Macaca fascicularis: one gene and its partners. The protein of the gene in region 1 interacts with the protein of each later gene in a biochemical or structural test. Links are inferred from orthologs where the notes say so. Each region holds a gene or a part of one and is shown in the gene's direction. Other genes may lie near its edges. The genes, in order: ABL1, CRKL, RAD51 and RIN1.

Region 1 (4,919 bases):
ATGGCTTCCTAGCAAAGCGACAGCCTGTGCAGGACAGTGCCTGATGGGCTTTGCTGGCGTCTTTTATATGAGATGTTCTCCACACCACCACTGTGACCTTTCCTTCCCAATTAGCTCAAGTATGAAACCTCTACATGAGATTTCATAGCAAGGAATAAGGGTAGCATGTGTGAAATGCTGGCAGCTCCTTGTAAGACAGATTTTCTATGCTCCACGAGAGCCTGATCCAGATACCCCTGGCTTTCAGGAAAGTGAACCCTCTGATGCTGCAAATTGAGATTGCTTGACTTCTGGTTTGCTTGGCACGGCCAGGTCTGTTCCTTCTTCATTCAAGCGAACTTAAAATGCTTTACCAAAATCCTCTTAGGCACAACTCTTCTGTATTTAATTTCACTCTCGTTGCTGACGATCAGGCTATCTCGTGCACCATCGCCTCAAGCTGCTGCCTCCTGTCATTCCCCTCTTCCCGCTTGCCTTGTGATTTCATGGTTAATGTTCATGAACCAAAGATTAGATTCCTACCTCCCTGGGAGAATCAGGAAGTGAGAGGAAACAGATTATACAGGAGAGCGTTTTTAGGATACATTTGGGTACACATCAGGAAGAAAGAGGGAAGTAGGAAACACAGTTTGGGTAAAGAATGTCATGGGCTTTGTTTTATTTTGTCCCATCAAGTCTGGATAGGACAAGTGGAGATGCACTCTGATAAAAGTTTCTTGCAATCAAAGACTGGGCTAAGTGTTTGTCTCTGTGCCTGGCATAGAGTAGCAATAACTGCACTTAATATTCTCGACACATCAATCAAAGCATTTAGCATATTAATTAATTACACTCACAGCAGCCCTAAGAGGTGGGTGCCATTATTATCGTCTTCATTTTACGGATGAGGTAACTGAGTCCCAAGGTAATTAACTTGCTCCAGGTCATGGGGCCAGGGAGCCCGCTCCCAGCACCAGCCTCTCGCGATGTTGGGATCTATCTCAAGGTGTGTTTGCTGAGAGGCTGGCACTGTGTTAATTGCAGTGGGCATTAATACAAATTTCCAGGGCACTGGACTCAATCTTCCCATTGTCAGCATTGCAGCTTCGCTCAACAGTGGTGGATTTGTGAAGTGGAAAGTTGGCCAGGAGCTCTCATGGGTGAACATTTTTCTTTCTTAGAGATCTTGCTGCCCGAAACTGCCTGGTAGGGGAGAACCACTTGGTGAAGGTAGCTGATTTTGGCCTGAGCAGGTTGATGACAGGGGACACCTACACAGCCCATGCCGGAGCCAAGTTCCCCATCAAATGGACTGCACCCGAGAGCCTGGCCTACAACAAGTTCTCCATCAAGTCCGACGTCTGGGGTAAGGGTTGCTGCTGCACTGAAGTGGTCCTTCCTGGCTACGGGAGGGTTTTTTTTTGGTTTTTTTTTTTTTTCTGCCTCTTTCTTGCTCTTCCCTTTTTTTTCCCCTTTTTTTCTTGCTCTTCCTTTCTTTTTGTTTTTTTGAGAGGGAGTCTCACTCTGTCACCCAGGCTGGAGTGCAGTGGTACAATCTTGGCTCAGTGCAGCCTCTGCCTCCCAGGTTCAAGCAATTCTCCTGCCTCAGTGTCTTGAGTAGCTGGGATTATAGGCACCCGTCACCATGCCCAGCTAATTTTTGGTATTTTTAGTAGAGATGGGGTTTCACCATGTTGGCCAGGCTGGTCTAGAACTCCTGACCTCAGGTGATCCACCTGCCTTGGCCTCCCAAAGTGCTGGGATTACAGGTGTGAGCCACTGCACCCAGCCACCTTTTTTTTTTTTTTTTTTTAAAACCTTTGGCCTGAGGTCCAAATATGGTGCACAGTGTATCTGCTGATTTGTCTGTTAAAACAGTGTCCTCTGTGAGCCCCCTCCATGTCTTTATTTCCCTTGCTGTTTGTTTATTGAAGAAATCATCATTTGTTCCGCAGAGTTTCTTACGTTCTGAGTTTTGCCCATTGTCTCCAATGGTGTGATTTAATGTTCCTCTGGCTTCCATATTCCTAGTTAAGGGTGGCTGAATCTGGACAGCCTCATCACATTCAGGTTTGACTGTTTTTCTTTTAGTAAGAGTGGATCAGAAGAGATGGTGTGCCCTTCCATCAGTAGACATAAAATGCTTGATTTTCTTTCTTTTTGTTTTTGTTTTTGTTTTGTTTTGTTTTTTTGAGACGGAGTTTCGCTCTTGTTGCCCAGGCTGGAGTATAGTAGCACAATCTCGGCTCGCTGCAACCTCTGCCTTCCGGTTTCAAGTGATTCTCCTGCCTCAGCCTCCTGAGTAGCTGGGATTACAGGTGCCTGCCACCACCCCTGACTAATTTTTGCATTTTTAGTAGAGGCAGGGGTTTTACCATGTTGGCCAGGATGGTCTCGAACTCCTGACCTCGTGATCTGCCCACCTCGGTCTCCCAGAGTGCTGGGATACAGCTGTGAGCCACTGCGCCCGGCCCCAAAATGCTTGATTTTCTATCTTTTTAAAATTTTTTTGAGTAATTTTTAGCAGTTATTGATATACAGTGCCTAGATCCAATAGTTTACTAGGTGTTGCCAGATGGGAATTCTCTAATTCTGTCATTCCTATTCAGTTGTTAGTGGAATACTTGTATGAGGAGAAACAGTTCCTCATCTCTTTGGTTACTCAGTGGTACAGTTCATATAGGAAGAGCAGGATCAATTCTTGCTTCTTTGGTTTTATTTACCAGTTCTTTTTTTTTTTTTTTGAGATGGAGTCTCGCTCTGTCGCCCAGGCTGGAGTGCAGTGGCCGGATCTCAGCTCACTGCAAGCTCCGCATCCTGGGTTTACGCCATTCTCCTGCCTCAGCCTCCCAAGTAGCTGGGACTACAGGTGCCCGCCACCTCGCCCGGCTAGTTTTTTGTATTTTTTAGTAGAGATGGGGTTTCACCGTGTTAGCCAGGATGGTCTCGATCTGACCTCGTGATCCGCCCGTCTTGGCCTCCCAAAGTGTTGGGATTACAGGCTTGAGCCACCGCGCCCGGCCTTTTACCAGTTCTTTTTTTTTTTTTTTTTTTTGAGGCGAAGTCTCGCTCTGTCGCCCAGGCTGGAGTGCAGTGGCCGGATCTCCGCTCACTGCAAGCTCCGCCTCCCGGGTTCTCGCCATTCTCCTGCCTCAGCCTCCCGCGTAGCTGGGACTACAGGCGCCGCCACCACGCCCGGCTAATTTTTTGTATTTTTAGTAGAGACGGGTTTCACTGTGTTAGCCAGGATGGTCTCGATCTCCTGACCTCGTGATCCGCCCGTCTCGGCCTCCCAAAGTGCTGGGATTACAGGCTTGAGCCACCGCGCCCGGCCTACCAGTTCTTAAAATAACAAATTAGTTTCTTTTTTTTGGAGACAGTCTTGCTTTGTCACACAGGCTGTAGCGTGATCTCAGCTCACTGCAACCTCCGCCTCCTGTGTTTCAAGCAATTCTTCTGCCTTAGTCTCCCAAGTAACTGGGATTGCAGGTGCCTGCCACCACTCCAGGCTAATTTTTTTTGTATTTTTAGTAAAGATGGGGCTTCACCATGTTGCCCAGGCTGGTCCTGAACTTCTGAGCTCAGACAATCTGCCCACCTTGGCCTCCCAAAGTGCTGGGATTATAGGCATGAGCCACCATGCCCTGCCACAGGTTAGTTTTTTTTTTGTTTTGTTTTGTTTTGTTTTGTTTTTTTGAGATGATGTCTCCCTCTGTCGCCCAGGCGGGAGTGCAGTGGTGCGATCTCAGCTCACTGCAAGCTCCGCCTCCAGGGTTCACGCCATTCTCCTGCCTCAGCCTCCCGAGTAGCTGAGACTACAGGCGCCCACCACCGCGCCCGGCTAAATTTTTTTTGTATTTTTAGTAGAGATGGGGTTTCACCGCATTAGCCAGGATGGTCTCAATCTCCTGACCTCGTGATCCGCCCGCCTCGGCCTCCCAAAGTGCACAAGTTAGTTTCTTAATACCCTTCAGTGGTGGCCAATTAGGTTTTTGTTGTTGTCATTTGTGGTATTATTATGAACTCTCAGATTTATATATATTTGATGTGTTTCAATCCACTGTGGTTATTTTCCCTGTTGATACTCAGATTGTCTCATCTTGGCCAGTGGGAACTTCACATTAGCTCCTAGTCATTTTGACATTACCTGTGTAGTTTTCTGTGATATCCATGCCCTCAAATGACAAGATTATTGCAGGTTCATTCTGTGCCCCAGGCCTGAATCACCCGTTTCTCCAAGGAATCTTACCCTTTAATGGGAAATGGAATTTCAAGGCAATAATCTGAGATTTCAAAACATTCGAAGATTTTGTAAGATTTTTATGAAATGTTTAGAGTTAGAAGGGGCTTTGGAGATAGTCTTGTGCACCCGGAAAGCAGTGGTGGCCAGTTAGGCACAGAGCTGGTTGGTCACAGAGCTATGAGTTAACATGGCCGGCTGACTTCCAGTGCCAGTTTCCTTCTACCACATATCCCGGCAAGATGGTCACATTACCTAAAATACCCCACAGGGTCTGATAACTCATCTTCTGCCCTCCTCCAGCATGTTTGTCTGTGGGGTAAGTTTACTGAGTCTTGTTCTGTCCTGGTGTTTTTTTTGTTTTGTTTTGTTTTTTTTTGAGACAGAGTCTTGCTCTTGTCGCCCAGGCTGGAGCAATCTCGGCTCACTGCAAACTCTGCCTCCCAGATTCAAGCAATTCTCCTGCCTCAGCCTCCGAAGTAGCCAGGACGACTGCTGTGCACCAACACACCTGGCTAATTTTGTATTTTTAGTAGAGATGGGGTTTTGCCATGTTGGCCAGGGTGATCTTGAACTCCTGACCTCAAACGATCCTCCCACCCCAGCCTCCCAAAGTGCTGGGATTACAGGCGTGAGCAACTGCACCTGGCCTTGTCCTGGTCTTCTGATGATAAAGAGTCTGGTAAAATGTCAGAGCCTG
Region 2 (4,410 bases), on another chromosome or scaffold:
ACACCTGGCTGATTTTTGTATTTTTTAGTAGAGATGTGGTTTTGCCATGTTGGCCATGCTGCTCTCGAACTTCTGACCTCAGGTGATCCACCTGCCTCGGCCTCCCAAAGTGTTGGGATTACAGATGTGAGCCATTGCGCCCAGCCTTTTTCTTTTTCTTTTCTTGAGACAAGGTCTCGCTCTGTCACCCAGGCTAGAGTGCAGTGGCATGATCACAGCTTACTGCAACCCTGCAACCTCTGCCTCCTGCGCTTAAGCGATCTTCCCACCTCATCCTCCCAAGTAGCTGGGACTGCAGGTGCATGCCACCATGCCTGGCTCATTTTTGTATTTTAGAGACAGGGTTTCACTGTGTTGCCCAGGCTGGTCTTGAACTCCTGGGCTTAAGTGATCCACCCGCCTCAGCCTCCCAAAGTGCTGGGATTACAGGTGTAAGCCACTGCGCCCAGCCACTTCGTGTTTTTTACACTATGTTATTATCTAACAAAGATTCATCGTGTATCCCACTTAAAAGACAAGTTTTTTGAGGATACGAACTGACCTGCCCATTTTCCATGGAATAGATGTTCAGTAAATTTTATTTAATTGTTTAGGTAGGATCATGTAGAAAGTATCCTGTTAAAGACCGCCAGACTCACAAGTTAATTGGAAGGTATGAGGTGTGAGTGTTCTTGGTAGCTTTCAGTCCCTAGCCTCCTCATCTCCATCTTCCCGTTGTCTTCCTTGGCTGCTCAGTATCCATCACAGTAATTTATTAGACCCCGTTTTCAGCCTGTTCCTCGTTGGTTTTGAGAGGACCCTTGTTGGTGACAAGGTTGGAAATCCTCTGATACATACAGTGCTGTGCTTCTCAGTGCTAATTCCAGCTCTTCCCTTCGTGCATCCAAAGGGTATGATCATTAGAGGGGGCGTGGGGCTGGGTTCTACTCAGGAATCTCTACTCAAGTAACAATCATTTGATTACTGTAAGACCCTTTCAAAGTTGGAAGGAAACTGAGACTTGGAGAACTTAAGCAGTTTGCTACAGTCATGTAGTTTCTAAAAGTGGCAGAACCAGGACATTTGTTTGGTGTCCTGCATGTTCCAAAGTTCATGGCATGGACCACTGGACTGTGCCACCTTGTGCCTGTTTTTATTTTGAGATGTAGTCTTGCTGTGTTGCACAGGCTGGTCTCAAACTCCTGGGCTCAAGCAATCCTCTCACCTCAGCCTGCCAAGTACCTAGAACTACAGGCACGCACCACTATGCCTGGTTCTGTATGTGTTTAAGCAGACGAAAGCTTATTTATTATTGTCTTAGATCTTAGGCGTGTCTTATATTCAAGTAGTGTTTTTATGGACCTGAGTACACAAAATAGAATCTTAGATTAGTGCTCTGCTGAACAGAGAGCACAATGTCTACAATGGCTACCACCTGAAGGTCTTTTTTAAAAATACACCTTTTTGTGTGATTTGACTTTAACTGTTCTCAGAATCATGTGTTCATTTCTATCCTGTTGGGGTTAGTAGCCAAAATAAAGGGTTGGTTTGGGGAGGAGCTGCTTTGTGCTCAAAAGCTGTTTGTGCGTGTGCGTGTTTTTGTTTTTTTGAGCAGGGTCTCACTCAGTTGCCCAGTCTGGAGTGCCATAGAACGATCACGGCTCACTGCAGCCTCAGCCTCATGGGCTCAAGCCATCCTCTCACTTCAGCCTCCTGAGTAGCTGGGACTAGAGTCATGTACCACTACACCCGGCTAATTTTTCTATTTTTTAGAAGAGATGAGGTTTCACCATGTTGCCCAGGCTGGTCTCGAACTCGTGACCTCAGGTAATCCCAGGAGTTCAAGGTACAATGAGCTGTGATCGTGCAACCGCATTCCAGCCTGGGTGACAGACCCTGTCTATAAAAAAATTAATGTGCATGGTGGTGCACGCCTGTAGTCACAGCTATTCAAGAGGTGGTGGTGGAAGGATCACTTGAGCCCAGGTGTTAGAGGTTACATTGAGTAGTGATCTCACCACTACACTCCAGCATGGCTAACAGAGTGAGACTCTGTGTCTAAATAATAATGTATGGGCCCTTTGGATAAGGTAGTGTTTGTGATTTAATGTAAACTGTCTTTTTCTTGTTGCAGAGAAATGCTAACTTTGTCTTCTTCATCCGTACAGGTTGGTGACATTGTGAAAGTCACAAGGATGAATATAAATGGCCAGTGGGAAGGCGAGGTGAATGGGCGCAAAGGGCTTTTTCCCTTTACGCATGTCAAAATCTTTGACCCTCAAAACCCAGATGAAAATGAGTGATTGCCGTTGCCCCGTTTCCTGCTGCTTTGTTGTTCTGCCTGTCCTAGTCTCCTTTGAAGTGGGAAAGCATTCTCTCTCATAGGCAAGTCACACTGCATTGCCGAAGTCCAGCTTTCTGCAGACTGGCAGTCGCACACACATTTGGAATGCACACAGCGACTGCCTCCTGACGTTTGTATCATAGTTGTATTGTCAAAGAGTAGCCGATTTTAGAGTTCTTTTGGATCATAAACTGGAAATACTGATGGAAGCACACAAGTGGAGAGAAGTTGACGAGGAAAGGGTCTTCCTTCTCATCGCTGCCTGTTTGTACATGGGACTGATTCTGTCGTGTTCACCAGAGAAAGCCTGAGGCCATGGCGAGATACTGCATGTTTGCTGTTCCACAGAGCAGTGGCTCAGCTGCCATCTTGCTTTTCTTTGGACAACAGGAACTGAACCTTAAGGAAGAGAGAATTCTGTTCTAAAACTCCAAAATTCGGCTTTTTTTTTTTCTTTTGGTTTGGTTTGGTTTTGGAAAACTAATTAATTAGACTTGTGTGGGGTTTTTTTGTTTTGTTTTGTTTTGTTTTTTGTTTTTTTGAGACGGAGTCTCGCTCCATCACCCAGGCTGGGGTGCAGTGGCGCAATCTTGCCTCCCTGCAGTTTTCGCCTCCCGGGTTCAAGCAATTCTCCTGCCTCAGCCTCCCGAGTAGCTGGGATTACAGGCGCGCACACCACGCCCAACTAATTTTTGTATTTTTAGTAGAGACGGGGTTTCATCATGTTGGCCAGGCTGGTGTCGAACTCCTGACTTCAGGTGATCCACCCGCCTCAGCCCCTCAACGTGCTGGTATTATAGCCATGAGCCGCTGTGCCTGGCCTAGACTTGTGTGTTCTAAACAGGTTAAGTAGCAGGTTGGGTTTTTATGATAGTGCAAGGAATGACACATGCCTCTGAGCTTCTAAACTGAAGCTGCTGTAACTAAAGGAATCTGAAAAGAACAACCCTGAAGCAGAGGCCTTTATTGTCTTGGTTGCCAGTAGTAGTTTGTTTTGCCATGTAGCAGAAAACACACAAAATAATGCAGCTGTGGTGTGCCATGCCATGTGCACAGCCCCTTGGATTACTTTGTTTTAAAAAGCATCAGAGTTGGGGGGTACTTTAGGGAAACCTTTGCTTACCTTGTTTGCCAGTGATAAGAGCAGTGGGTTGGAGGGCAGTTGGCCAGTTTTCTGTTCAGCTTTTCAGTGAATGTACCCCTTTAAGGTTAAGACTTAAATTCCCCTAAAAAGTGGGGTTGTTCATAGAATCATTGGACTCATTAATGAATCGTTAAATTCCACTCACTGAAGCCCAGACCTCCGTACCCAGGCCCAGTCTCACCAGGCTGCCAGAGAAAGTTGGTGCTGCTGATACTGGTCTCACAGTCTAAGTAAGTGTCTGATGCTCCCAAGCAGTGGAAATGCAGGCTCTGGAAATTGGTTAATGTATTTGATGTCTTAGTGTTTTAGTGACTAGGGAGACCATTAACCAGTTTATCATTAACCACTTATCAGTGTATTGATGTTAAAGCATTTCCCTGTTAGCTAAAAGAGGCCTGTTCATACAAGCCAGCTGGTATATATGTGTGGTTCATCCGTCATCTGCTGCTCATGGCAGACTAGAATTCTGGGAACCCTGTGTAATTCAGTCTGTTCTCCCTTCTGGGCCCTGGTAAAGACAAGCCTCAGCTTATAGTGAACACAGCAGACCTAGAAATGTAGCAACAGCCTAATGAGTAACTGTCATTTACTGAGTATCTGCTGTGACTGTGGCCCTGTCTGGAGGTTCCTAGGTTTTGAGATTTAGAACAATGCCTTCTGGAGACAGAACCAGCAAAACAACCATTTTTCAATTTTTCTTTAAATCAGTATTCTATTAGGCAGATAACTGCCATATTCATGAATCTTGAGAGTGTTCCCTGTGACAGAATTAATGGTCAGTTGGGAAAACTATCACCATGGCTTCCCATCTATGGTTCTCCTCTAAAATTCTTAGAGATTAGCCCTTCCTTGCCAGTGAGAACGGTGGCCGCCTCCTGCTCTGCATGGTCTGCGGCAGTTGCCGCTTCTGGTTAGGTGTGTCAGGTTGGTTTATTTTGGGCTC
Region 3 (5,361 bases), on another chromosome or scaffold:
ATTACTTGCATGCGTCACCACGCCCAGCTACTTTTTGTAGTTTTAGTAGAGATGGGGTTTTGCCATCTTGGCCAGGCTGGTCTTGAACTGACCACGTGATCCACCCACCTTGGCTTCCCAAAGTGCTGGGATTACAGGCTTGAGCCACCGCGCCTGGCCTCTTCTTACATGTTTTGTTGTTGTTGTTGCTTGCTTTTTGGGACAAGATCTCACTCTGTAGCCCAGGTTGGAGTGCAGTGTCCCATCATAGCTCACTGCAGCCTTGACGTCCTGAGCTCAAGCAATCCTCCCACCTCAGCTTCCGGGATAGCTGAGACCACAGGCACAAGCCACCATGCCCAGCTTATTCTTTTTGGAGATATGGGGTCCCACTATGTTGCCCAGGCTGGCCTCCAACTCCTGAGCTCAAGCGATCCTCTCCTGCCTTGGCTTCCCAAAGTGCTGGGATCACAGGCGTGAGCCACTGTGCAGGCCTTATATGATCTTAAGCCTCTTCATATCCTGAACTAAATGTAACTTTCCAGTTTCGGCACTTGTTCTGGCACTTTTCCTCCCTCGCTAGATAATACTAATCTTTAATCATGTAGTTTGTTTCCATGCCCATACTACCCTATCTGCTTATAGTGTCTTCCACTTCGCCCAAGAAATCCTACTCAGCTAGCTTGTGTTGTTTTGAGACACTCTCGTTCTGTCGCCCACGCTGGAGTACAGTGGCGAGATCTCGGTTCGTTGCAACCTCTTCCTCCCGGGTTCAAGCGATTCTCGGCCCTACTCAGCCTTTAAAACCGGAATCACGGGTCAAAACTTTCTGGTAAACCACGAGACGGTTTAGGTTATGAAATTCAATGCCCCCTTCCTCTGAAGTCCTGCAAATCTCCAGTAAAGCACCACAGATTGACGAATATTCCAGCCATTTCCCTCTCCCCTCCGATAGCTCCATTTCTCACTTCTATCCATCTTCTCGAGCTTCCTCAGCTCCTCCACCTCCATGAGGCCTGGAAAGCACCTGGTTCCAGGAATGTGAGTCGGAGGCTCAGAGCTACCAGCGCCAAAAGCTGACGTTCAGATACTGCTGAAACAAACCACAAGAGTGCTAAGGCTCCAGGTAATAGTCCGGCTCCAGGTAATAGTCCAGCTGGGATGACGGTAGGAACTCGCAGGCCCGCCGGCGGTGCATGCCGGGAGATACAGTCCCGGGCCGACGCATTACCTCTTGGGAGTTGTAGTCTTCGATCTGGTAAACAGACCACAGCAACTCTGATGTCTTCCCCCACCGTCCCCCGAAAACCCTCGCCCCACCCGCGAGGGACTAGGGTAAGAGTAGGGGCGTTGCCGTGGTTGGCCTAGAACTCCCAGGCTCAGACGATCCTCTCGCCTCGGCCTCCCGAGTTAGCTGGGACTACGCGCGTGAGCCACCGCGCCCGGCATAAAGTCTGAATTAGTCCTTACGCAAAAAGGGAAGAGGGCAGTCCGTAACCTCGCGCAGGATCAAGCTCTCGAGTTCCAGTCTTGGGCTAGCGCGGTGGGCGGAAGGGGCAAGAAGGCGGATCCGGAAGGCGGAGATACGTTACGCCGACGCGTGCGTGACCCTGGGCGAGAGGGTTTGGCGCGAATTCTGAAAGCCGCCGTCGGAGCGCGCCCAGCGACCAGAGACCGACCCTTAAGGAGAGCGCGGCGCTTCCCGAGGCGTGCAGCTGGGAGCTGAAACTCGTCTGGGTTGTGCGCAGAAGGCTGGGGCAAGCGAGTAGACTTGAAGTAGGGCGTAAGCCAGGGGCGTTGGGGTCCGCGCGGGTCAGGCGCGTGTCACCCCCGCAGGGTGAAGTCGGAGCGCGCGGCCCGTTGGAAAGAGCAGCGCTGAGGGCCAAGGTGAGTGTGTGAGGCGCAGGCCGGGCCCTCTATAGCTGCGGCTCGTCGTCGCCCACCTGGGTCCTGGCCGGTCCAATGCTCAGGGGCAGGTGGGGTCTCCGCGCACAGTGTGAAACCCGGACGTGGCAGGGCGTGTCCGCGTCCGACCGACTCTCAGTTGCTGGGGCGAAAACACAGGTGGATCCCAGTCTTTAGAACTAGGGGAGAAACATTAGAGCCTTCATAGCCAACACCCGTTTTATGAGTTTGAGCGAGGAGTCTGAGATCAGAGCGGTGTAGCCACAGCTGTTTAATATCACAGCCAGGGCTTCCGGATTCTTGGTCTGTCTTTCCGTTACACCGTGCTTAGAAAGTACCAACCTGCAATTGCCAAAACAGTATTTTCGTCATCTAATGCGGAAAACCATTCGCATGATGCCTAGAGAATGATCTGAAGTGAGGCTTGGTTTTCTTAAAACTTTTTTTTTTTTTTTTTTTTTGAGATGAAGTCTCGCTCTTTAGCCCAGGCTGGAGTGTAGTGGCGCGATCTCGGCTCACTGCAACCTCCGCCTCCCGGGTTCAAGCGATTCTCCTACCTCAGCCTCCCAAGGAGCTGGGATTACAGGCTCCCGCCACCACGACTGGCTGATTTTTGTATTTTTAGTAGAGACAGGGTTTCACTATGCTGGTCAGGCTGGTGTCGAACTCCTGACCTCAGGTTATCCACCCGCCTCCACCTCCCAAAGTGCTGGGATTACAGGCGTGAACCACCGCGCCTGGCCCCTGTTTTTTTTTTTTTTTTTGAGACAGAGTCTTGCTCTGTCGCCCAGGCTGGAGTGCAGTGGCGCAATCTCGGCTCACTGCAAGCTCCGCCTCCCGGGTTCACGCCATTCTCCTGCCTCAGCCTCCTGAGTAGCTGGGACTACAGGCTCCCGCCACCGCGCCCGGCTAATTTTTTTTTGTATTTTTAGTAGAAACGGGGTTTCACCGTGGTCTCGATCTCCTGACCTTGTGATCCGCCCGCCTCGGCCTCCCAAAGTGCTGGGATTACAGGCGTGAGCCACCGCGCCCGGCTTTTTTTTTTTTTTTTTAAACTTCTAAAGTGATATGTAATATACATGTAGAAAAATGCACATTCACAACTGTATACAACTCCGTGAATTATTACAAAATATACTGGCCGGGTGTAGTGTCTCAAGTCTGTAGTCCCAGCACTTTAGGAGGTGGAGGCGGGAGGACAATTGAGCCCAAGAGTTCGAGAACAGCCTGGTCAAGATAGTGAGACCAGTATCTCTACAGATAGAAAAAATTAGCCAGGCTTGGTGGCGTGCACCTGTAGGCCCAGCTATTCAGGAGGCTGAGAAGGGAGGATCTAGCCTGGGAAGTATAAGCTGCAGTGAGCCGTGATCAGGCCACTGCACTCCAACCTGGGCGATAGAGCAAGACAAAATGAATGTACACCTACGTAATCACCACTTAATAGAATGGTCCCCAGAAGCCTTCCTTATGTAGTATTTAATATTTTCCCCTTTTTACAGTGGTAACTGGTACACTGGTTTCTAATGCGATTAACTAATGTTGCTCGTTTTTGAATTTTATATAAAAATACATCAGGAGTGTTGAGTGTTTCGTTGTTTTACATGCTTGACAACACGATTTTCAGCCTTTTATATTTAACTATTCTGGCCGGGCGCGGTGATTCACGCCTGTAATCCCAGCACTTTGGGAGGCTGAGACGTGCGGATCACAAGGTCAGGAGATAGAGACCATCCTGGCTAACATGGTGAAACCCGGTCTCTACTAAAAATACAAAAAAAATTAGCCGGGCGTGGTGGCGGGCGCCCGTAGTCCCAGCTACTGGGGAGGCTGAGGCAGGAGAATTGCGGTGAACCGAGATGCAATGAGTCGGGAGGCGGAGCTTGCAGTGAGCCGAGATGGCGCCACTGCACTCCAGCCTGGGCGACAGAGCAAGACTCCGTCTCAAAAAAAAAAAAAAAAAAAAATTTTTTTTTTTTACTATTCTGCTGGTTACACAGTAATGTCTCAATGTGATTTTAATTTTCCTGATTACTAATGAGGTTGGGTATTTGTTCATATGTTTTTCCCATTTGGATATCTTCTGTGATGTACTTGTTCAAATCTCTTGTCTATTTTTCTACTTTTTCTTACTGATGTGAAGTTCTTTTTTTTTTTTTTTTTTGTTGAGACAGAGTCTCGCTTTGTCGCCCAGACTGGAGTGCAGTGGCCGGATCTCAGCTCACTGCAAGCTCCGCCTCCCGGGTTCGCGCCATTCTCCTGCCTCAGCCTCCCCAGTAGCTGGGACTACAGGCGCCCGCCACCATGCCCAGCTAGTTTTTTGTATTTTTTAGTAGAGACGGGGTTTCACCGTGTTAGCCAGGATGGTCTCGATCTCCTGACCTCGTGATCCGCCCGTCTTGGCCTCCCTAAGTGCTGGGATTACAGGCTTGAGCCACCGCGCCAGGCCAAAGTTCTTTATATTCTGGTTATCAGCCCTCAGTTATGTTTGTGCTAAATGTTTTCACCTCTACTGTGGTTTGACTTGTCATTCTCTTAGTGGTGTCCTTTGATGAATAGAAGTGCTGAATTTATTTTTTTATTTTTTATTTTATTTATTTATATTTCCTTTTGAGACAGAGAGTCACTCTTGTTGCCCAAGCTGGAGTGCAATGGCGCGATCTTGGCTGACCGCAACCTCCACCTCCCGGGTTCAAGCGATTCTCCTGCCTCAGCCTCCTGAGTAGCTGGGATTACAGGCATGTGCTACCACGCCCGGCTAATTTTGTATTTTTCTTTAGTAGAGACAGGGTTTCTCCATGTTGGTCAGGCTGGTCTCGAACTCCTGAACTCAGGTGATCTGCCCGTCTCAGCCTCCCAAAGTGCTGGGAGTACAGGCCTGAGCCACAGTGCCTGGCCGAAGTGCTGAATTTAAATGTAGTTCAGCTTTCAGTCTTTTCCTTTTTGGCTAGTGCGTTATGTATCGTTTCAAGAAATCTTTTTATATCCCAAGGTTGTGAAAATAATAAGTTTTACTTTGTTTTTGACAGATGATTGTACATATTTATGAGAACAAGTTGATATTTCAGTACATATATATTGAATAATGAATGATCAAATCAGGGTAATCAGCATATCCATCAATTCAGTTCAAACACTTGTCATTTCTCTTTGTGGTGAGAACATTCAAAATACTCTCTTCTGGCTATTTTGAAGTACTCATTACATTAGTGTTTACTGTAGTCACCCTACTATGAAATAGAACCCTAGAACTTATTCCTCCTATCTAACTGAAACTTTGTGCCTGTTGATCAACCTCTCTCCTTCCTGCCCCCTGCAACGGCTGCATTCTCCTCAGTCTCTGGTTACCACTCTTCTATTTGTTCCTTGTATGAGATGAACTTTTTTTTTTTTGAGACGCAGTCTCGCTCTGTCATGAGGCTGGAGTACAGTGGTGTGATCTCAGCTCACTGCAGTCTTCTGCCTTCCAGGTTCAAGCCA
Region 4 (5,376 bases), on another chromosome or scaffold:
GAAGAGAAAATCGGATGGTAAGAACTATGGCTGTTGTACGGCCTCCCCTGCCCGCCTTGCCATCACCTTCCCTCAGCTCAGCCTCCAGGAAGGAGCCCAGAGAGAGGCTGTGGCTGTGTCAGAATCAGTGGCCCAAGAAAGTTAGGATGGTCTAGATTTGAGGGGCTTGTGGGAGTTTGAGGAGCAGGAACCAGGATGGGGCTGGGGAAGCCTGGGTTGATGGAGCTCCCACTCAGGAGGGGTCAGGGAGGGCCGTGGAGCTGCCCAGGAGGCCTGTCCTGGGCCAGCCCAAAGTCACTCCGCTCAGTAAGTGGCTGCCCCCCTCCTTTCAGCTTCCTCACTGGTGACAGTTTTCTCCTTCCCACATACGCACAGGACCGTGACCCTGCTGTTCAGAGCCAGGGGGACCCTCAGAGCAGCTGGCACCGCACCCAGGATTCTCATCTTCCTGCTGCAGACAGGCAGACCCACAGGCCCCTCAGGGTCTGCCCAGCCAGGCTCCTGTGGTGCTGCTGGGCCCTCCCACTCCGCTGGCACTGGCCTGGACTCCTCCTCTGCCCTCCTCGAGGCCTGCACAGCTGTGGCTGTGGAGCCGACCTGGCCAGGCAAGGCTGCTGTCTCCATCCCTGAGCCGCCTGCCACCTCCCGCTCCTGAAGATCCGCCTCTTGGGGCTCCCCTGACAGAGAAGACAGCTGAAGTCAAAGCCACATCCTCTTGCTGACCTTGGATGCAGGCTCTCCGGCCTCAGGGCCAGGGAGCCAGGCCCCACTGTGCAGGAACTCTGAGTCAGACGTGATATCTAGGGGGGCTGTCCACCCTGGCTGGGGCTGGAGGCGAGATGCCAGGCCCCCCAGGTTTTCTCAGGGCAGTTCTTGGTGTCTGCCTCTCAGATTTCAAGGACTAGAATTAAAACCTTTCCTGGGATTCTGGTGTGCCCCGTGTATGTGTGATTTACCTTGCAAGAGAATCAGGGCTTCTGTGGGGAGCACCTGAACCAGGCTGACTTCTGAGGTGCCTGCAGATTGCCACTCCTTGCACTGCCCAGCAGAGGCTGGAGCACTGTGCGTGGGGCCACACTGGGGAGGGGGAGGTGGGCGCTGGGCTGCCTGGCACTGGGCAGAGAACATATGGCGCCAGCGGAGTGCCTCGGGTGGGGAGGATGGGTGCGTGTGCTTGAAGCCTGGGTCATGTCTGCACCTGTCCCAGTTGCCTGGCAGATTGGCAAGGCAGGCTGGCAGAGCCTGCATGCGTAGGAGGCAGCCGGCAGCAGCACCATGTGCTAACGACCTCACAGCCAGACTCCCCCTGGTTAGTGCTGAGTGTCAGAACCACCCCCAGAACCTCAGTTAAGCAAATAGGTTGGTTTCCATGGAGACGTGGCATATTTTCTCCATGGCAACCTAAAATCCTAAAACCCATGTTCAGGAATGAGTCATCTATGGACAGTAGAGGGTGCTCTCCCACAAGGCTGACCTGAGGCCAGGGGCAGATGAGCAACTGACCACAGACCCAGAGGTGCCCCCAGAGTGTGGCTGGGGCCTGCGGGGACTGAGTCGGCCGTTTAACCACTTCCCGCCCACCTGTGCAATTTGAGGAGCTGGTGAGGCTGCAGGAGGCCCTGTGTGGAGGTGGCACCCCCCAGCTGGGGCCCTCAGAGCAGGGCTAGCACGGAGGGGATCCCTGACCCCCGAAGCAGGGTCCAGAACAGAGGAGGCAGGCACTGGCCAGGCGGGGTGGACACACAAGAGTTAACAGGCGGGTGTGACAGGCGGACCGCCCTCAGGAAGTGTTACTCACTGGGGATGTGCGTGCCTTGCCTTGGGGTTGGATTCTCTTCCTGAAGCCGAAGGAGCTCCCAGCCATGGAAAGCCCTGGAGAGTCAGGCACGGGCCCTCCGGGAGCCCCCAGCCCATCCAGCTTCACTCCTGGGCACCTGGAGACAGAAAAGTTAGTGAAGTTGGCAGGGCAGCCAGGTGGGGCAGGGAGGGGCTGCGAGAAGAGGGTCTATCTGGGGATGGAGAAGGTGGGAAACCTGGGAGCGGGGAAGAGGAGAGCAAGGGTCCCAGCCCCTGGCTCCCTGCTCAGATCTGGATGCCCGCCCTCAGGCCAGCCCAGGACCCACTGTATGACGTGCCCAATGCCAGCGGCGGGCAGGCAGGCGGGCCACAGCGGCCGGGACGCGTTGTGAGCCTGCGGGAGCGCCTGCTGCTCACCCGGCCTGTGTGGCTGCAGCTGCAAGCCAACGCAGCCGCGGCACTGCACGTGCTGAGGACCGAGCCCCCGGGGGTGAGTCTTGCCCCCAACCTCCAGGGACTGGCCAGCCAGGGGTGGGAGGGAGAAGGGTGGAATGCCAAGGTCCTGAGCTGCCTGAGCCCTATCCACTTGCAGACGTTCCTCGTGCGGAAATCTAACACCCGACAGTGCCAGGCCCTGTGCATGCGACTGCCCGAAGCCAGCGGCCCCTCCTTCGTCTCCAGCCACTACATCCTGGAGAGCCCTGGCGGTGAGGGGCTGGCCTGGCAGGAAGGGGCTGGAAGGAGGGAGGTTCCCTAGAGAAGCACCTCACTTCCCTCCTCTCTCAGGCGTCTCCTTGGAGGGCTCGGAGCTCATGTTCCCAGACCTAGTCCAGCTCATCTGTGCCTACTGCCACACCCGGTGAGTCTGCCTGCAGGGTGCCCGGTGTCCACGGGCCCTGCTCCTTGGGACAGCCCATCCTCCCCACCCCCTTCGGCCCTCACTCCCTTCTGCTCCCCTCTCTGGCCTCAGGGACATCCTTCTCCTCCCGCTGCAGCTCCCCAGAGCCATCCACCGTGCAGCCACCCACAAAGAGCTGGAGGCCATCTCCCATCTGGGCATTGGTAAGAGCTCCTTGCCACCCATTGCACAGATGAAAAGGCTGAGGGGAGGGGAAGGCTCGCAGCACACGGCCCGAAGCCCATGCCTTTCCTTGGTTGGGAAACTTCCCCTAACCAATCCTGGAGGCCCCAGTTGGTTTCTTGTTCCCTAGAGTTCTGGAGCTCCTCCCTCAACATCAAGGCTCAGCGGGGCCCGGCTGGAGGCCCAGTGTTGCCCCAGCTGAAGGCCCGGTCCCCTCAAGAGCTGGACCAGGGCACCGGAGCCGCCTTGTGCTTCTTCAACCCCCTGTTCCCGGGGGACCTGGGGCCCACCAAGCGGGAGAAATTCAAGAGAAGCTTCAAAGTGCGCGTGTCCACAGAGACTTCCAGCCCCCTGTCTCCACCTGCCGTGCCGCCTCCCCCGGTCCCTGTGTTGCCAGGGGCAGTCCCCAGCCAGACAGAGCGGCTGCCCCCTTGCCAGTTGCTGCGGAGGGAGAGTTCAGTGGGGTACCGCGTGCCAGCAGGCGGTGACCCTAGCCTTCCGCCTATGCCCTCCCTCCAGGAGGTGGACTGCGGCTCCCCCAGCAGCTCCGAGGAGGAGGGGGCGCCAGGGTCCCGGGGGAGCCCAGCGACCTCACCCCACCTGGGCCGCCGGCGGCCTCTGCTTCGGTCCATGAGTGCCGCCTTCTGCTCCCTACTGGCGCCGGAGCGGCAGGTGGGCCGGGCCGCGGCGGCACTGATGCAGGACCGACACACAGCCGCAGGCCAGCTGGTGCAGGACCTACTGACCCAGGTGCGGGCCGGGCCTGAGCCCCAGGAGCTGCAGGGCATCCGTCAGGCACTGAGCCGGGCCCGGGCCATGCTGAGCGTGGAGCTGGGCCCTGAGAAGCTGCTGCCGCCTAAAAGGCTGGGTGAGGCTCCGTCTCTCCATAGCTCCAGCACTGCCCCATCCGACCCTCTGCTCCCCTCCACAGCGCCAGCCTGTCTGATTCTGTTCTGCTGCTTTACAAACCCACCCTGTCTTACCACTGTTCGAGAGAGTTCCATCCTCTCTCTCCCCAAACTCTTCTGTCTCACCCAGGCTACCTCCTCCTGCTTTCCTTGCCTCTCCTCCCCGATTCTACCCCTGCTCCCTTCTCCCCTGGCCTCTGTCCCCCATCTCCCCTGGCCTCTGTCCCCCATCTCCCCAGTCTTCCCCTGACCCCTCCCTGCCCCTCCTCTGGCAGAACATGTCCTGGAGAAGTCATTGCATCGCTCTGTGCTCAAGCCTCTCCGGCCCATCCTGGCAGCCCGCGTGCGGCGCCGGCTTGCCGCAGACGGCTCCCTGGGCCGCCTAGCTGAGGGCCTCCGCCTGGCCCGGGCCCAGGGTCCCGGAGCTTTTGGGTCCCACCTGAGCCTGCCCTCCCCAGTAGAGATGGAGCAGGTGCGCCAGAAGTTGCTGCAGCTGCTCCGCACCTACTCACCCAGCGCCCAGGTGAAGCGGCTCCTGCAGGCCTGCAAGCTGCTCTACATGGCCCTGAGGACCCAGGAGGGTATGTCTCTGCCACCACCTCACCCTGCCCTGCCCCTCTGAGTTGGAGGTGGGACCCCCAGTGGCAGGTCCCCAGGACCCTGGAATGGCCCTGCGGGAGAGAATGAGCCCACCCTCCCATCTTGCAGATTGCGAAACTGAGGCCCAGAGAGCAGTGCGTTCTCTCCGAAGCCCTGCCATGGTTGCTAGGCCATGGGGAGGGGTCACTGCCTAAAGCAAGGACTGCACCTGAAGCTTCTTCCTCTCACCATGTCCCCACAGGGGAGGACGCGGGTGCTGACGAGTTCCTGCCTCTGCTGAGCCTCGTCTTGGCCCACTGTGACCTTCCTGAGCTGCTGCTGGAGGCCGAGTACATGTCAGAGCTGCTGGAGCCCAGCCTGCTCACCGGAGAGGGTGAGGGACCCCCACCCACTTCCCTGCCTGGGTGGGCCCTGAATAAGCAGGGAAGGGGAGAGGGGATGGGTGCCCCACACCCAGCCTGAGCCGTGTTATTCCACCCTGTGTCCCAGGTGGCTACTACCTGACCAGCCTGTCTGCCAGCCTGGCCTTGCTGAGTGGCCTGGGTCAGGCCCATACCCTCCCACTGAGTCCTTCGCAGGAGCTACGGCGCTCCCTCAGCCTCTGGGAGCAGCGCCGCCTGCCTGCCACCCACTGCTTCCAGGTAACAGGCCCTCCACCGTGTCCTCAGAGCCAGACACCATCCCCGCCTTTCACCTTCCTGTCCTTGGTGAAGAGTCCAGACTCTGTAGCCAGATCCCGGGTTCTAATCCCAGCTCTGCCACTGGGTTGTGGGGACTTGGGCAAGTTACTTAACTACTTTGTGCCTCAGTTTTCTCATCAGTACAATGGGGTAATAGGACCTACCTCGTGGGGTTGAGGTAAAGATTAAATGAGTTAATGCAGGAGAGTACTTGGGGCACAAAGTGTGCACTATCAAAGCTTCGTCTCAGGCTTGTGAGCTCCCCACTGGGCTGTCCTGCACCTTCAACTGTGGCCCACAAGCCGACCCC

What was found.
Region 2: the proteins of ABL1 (region 1) and CRKL form a complex in vitro, tested with the Homo sapiens proteins (4 studies listed by BioGRID and IntAct, with this or other methods). The link is inferred for Macaca fascicularis from reciprocal best matches to the Homo sapiens genes ABL1 and CRKL.
Region 3: the proteins of ABL1 (region 1) and RAD51 form a complex in vitro, tested with the Homo sapiens proteins (2 studies listed by BioGRID). The link is inferred for Macaca fascicularis from reciprocal best matches to the Homo sapiens genes ABL1 and RAD51.
Region 4: of the proteins of ABL1 (region 1) and RIN1, one has a biochemical effect on the other in vitro, tested with the Homo sapiens proteins (2 studies listed by BioGRID and IntAct, with this or other methods). The link is inferred for Macaca fascicularis from reciprocal best matches to the Homo sapiens genes ABL1 and RIN1.

The regions. Positions count from the first base shown.
Region 1 is NC_088389.1:12,995,304-13,000,222, reverse strand, and holds part of ABL1 (tyrosine-protein kinase ABL1), read left to right. Parts: intron 1-1,160; coding exon 1,161-1,345; intron 1,346-4,919. UniProt on the Homo sapiens protein: Non-receptor tyrosine-protein kinase that plays a role in many key processes linked to cell growth and survival such as cytoskeleton remodeling in response to extracellular stimuli, cell motility and adhesion, receptor endocytosis, autophagy, DNA damage response and apoptosis.
Region 2 is NC_088384.1:31,930,241-31,934,650, forward strand, and holds part of CRKL (crk-like protein), read left to right. Parts: intron 1-2,147; coding exon 2,148-2,282; 3' UTR 2,283-4,410. UniProt on the Homo sapiens protein: May mediate the transduction of intracellular signals.
Region 3 is NC_088381.1:17,222,901-17,228,261, forward strand, and holds the start of RAD51 (DNA repair protein RAD51 homolog 1), read left to right. Parts: upstream 1-1,595; 5' UTR 1,596-1,866; intron 1,867-5,361.
Region 4 is NC_088388.1:8,064,810-8,070,185, forward strand, and holds the start of RIN1 (ras and Rab interactor 1), read left to right. Parts: upstream 1-1,827; 5' UTR 1,828-1,862; coding exon 1,863-1,948; exon of another isoform or gene 1,949-1,974; intron 1,975-2,086; exon of another isoform or gene 2,087-2,092; coding exon of another isoform or gene 2,093-2,106; coding exon 2,107-2,287; intron 2,288-2,389; coding exon 2,390-2,504; intron 2,505-2,583; coding exon 2,584-2,656; intron 2,657-2,767; coding exon 2,768-2,859; intron 2,860-3,008; coding exon 3,009-3,746; intron 3,747-4,061; coding exon 4,062-4,367; intron 4,368-4,627; coding exon 4,628-4,759; intron 4,760-4,875; coding exon 4,876-5,027; intron 5,028-5,376. Other genes in the region: BRMS1 (breast cancer metastasis-suppressor 1), read left to right, coding at 1-17, 376-383. UniProt on the Homo sapiens protein: Ras effector protein, which may serve as an inhibitory modulator of neuronal plasticity in aversive memory formation. Can affect Ras signaling at different levels. First, by competing with RAF1 protein for binding to activated Ras.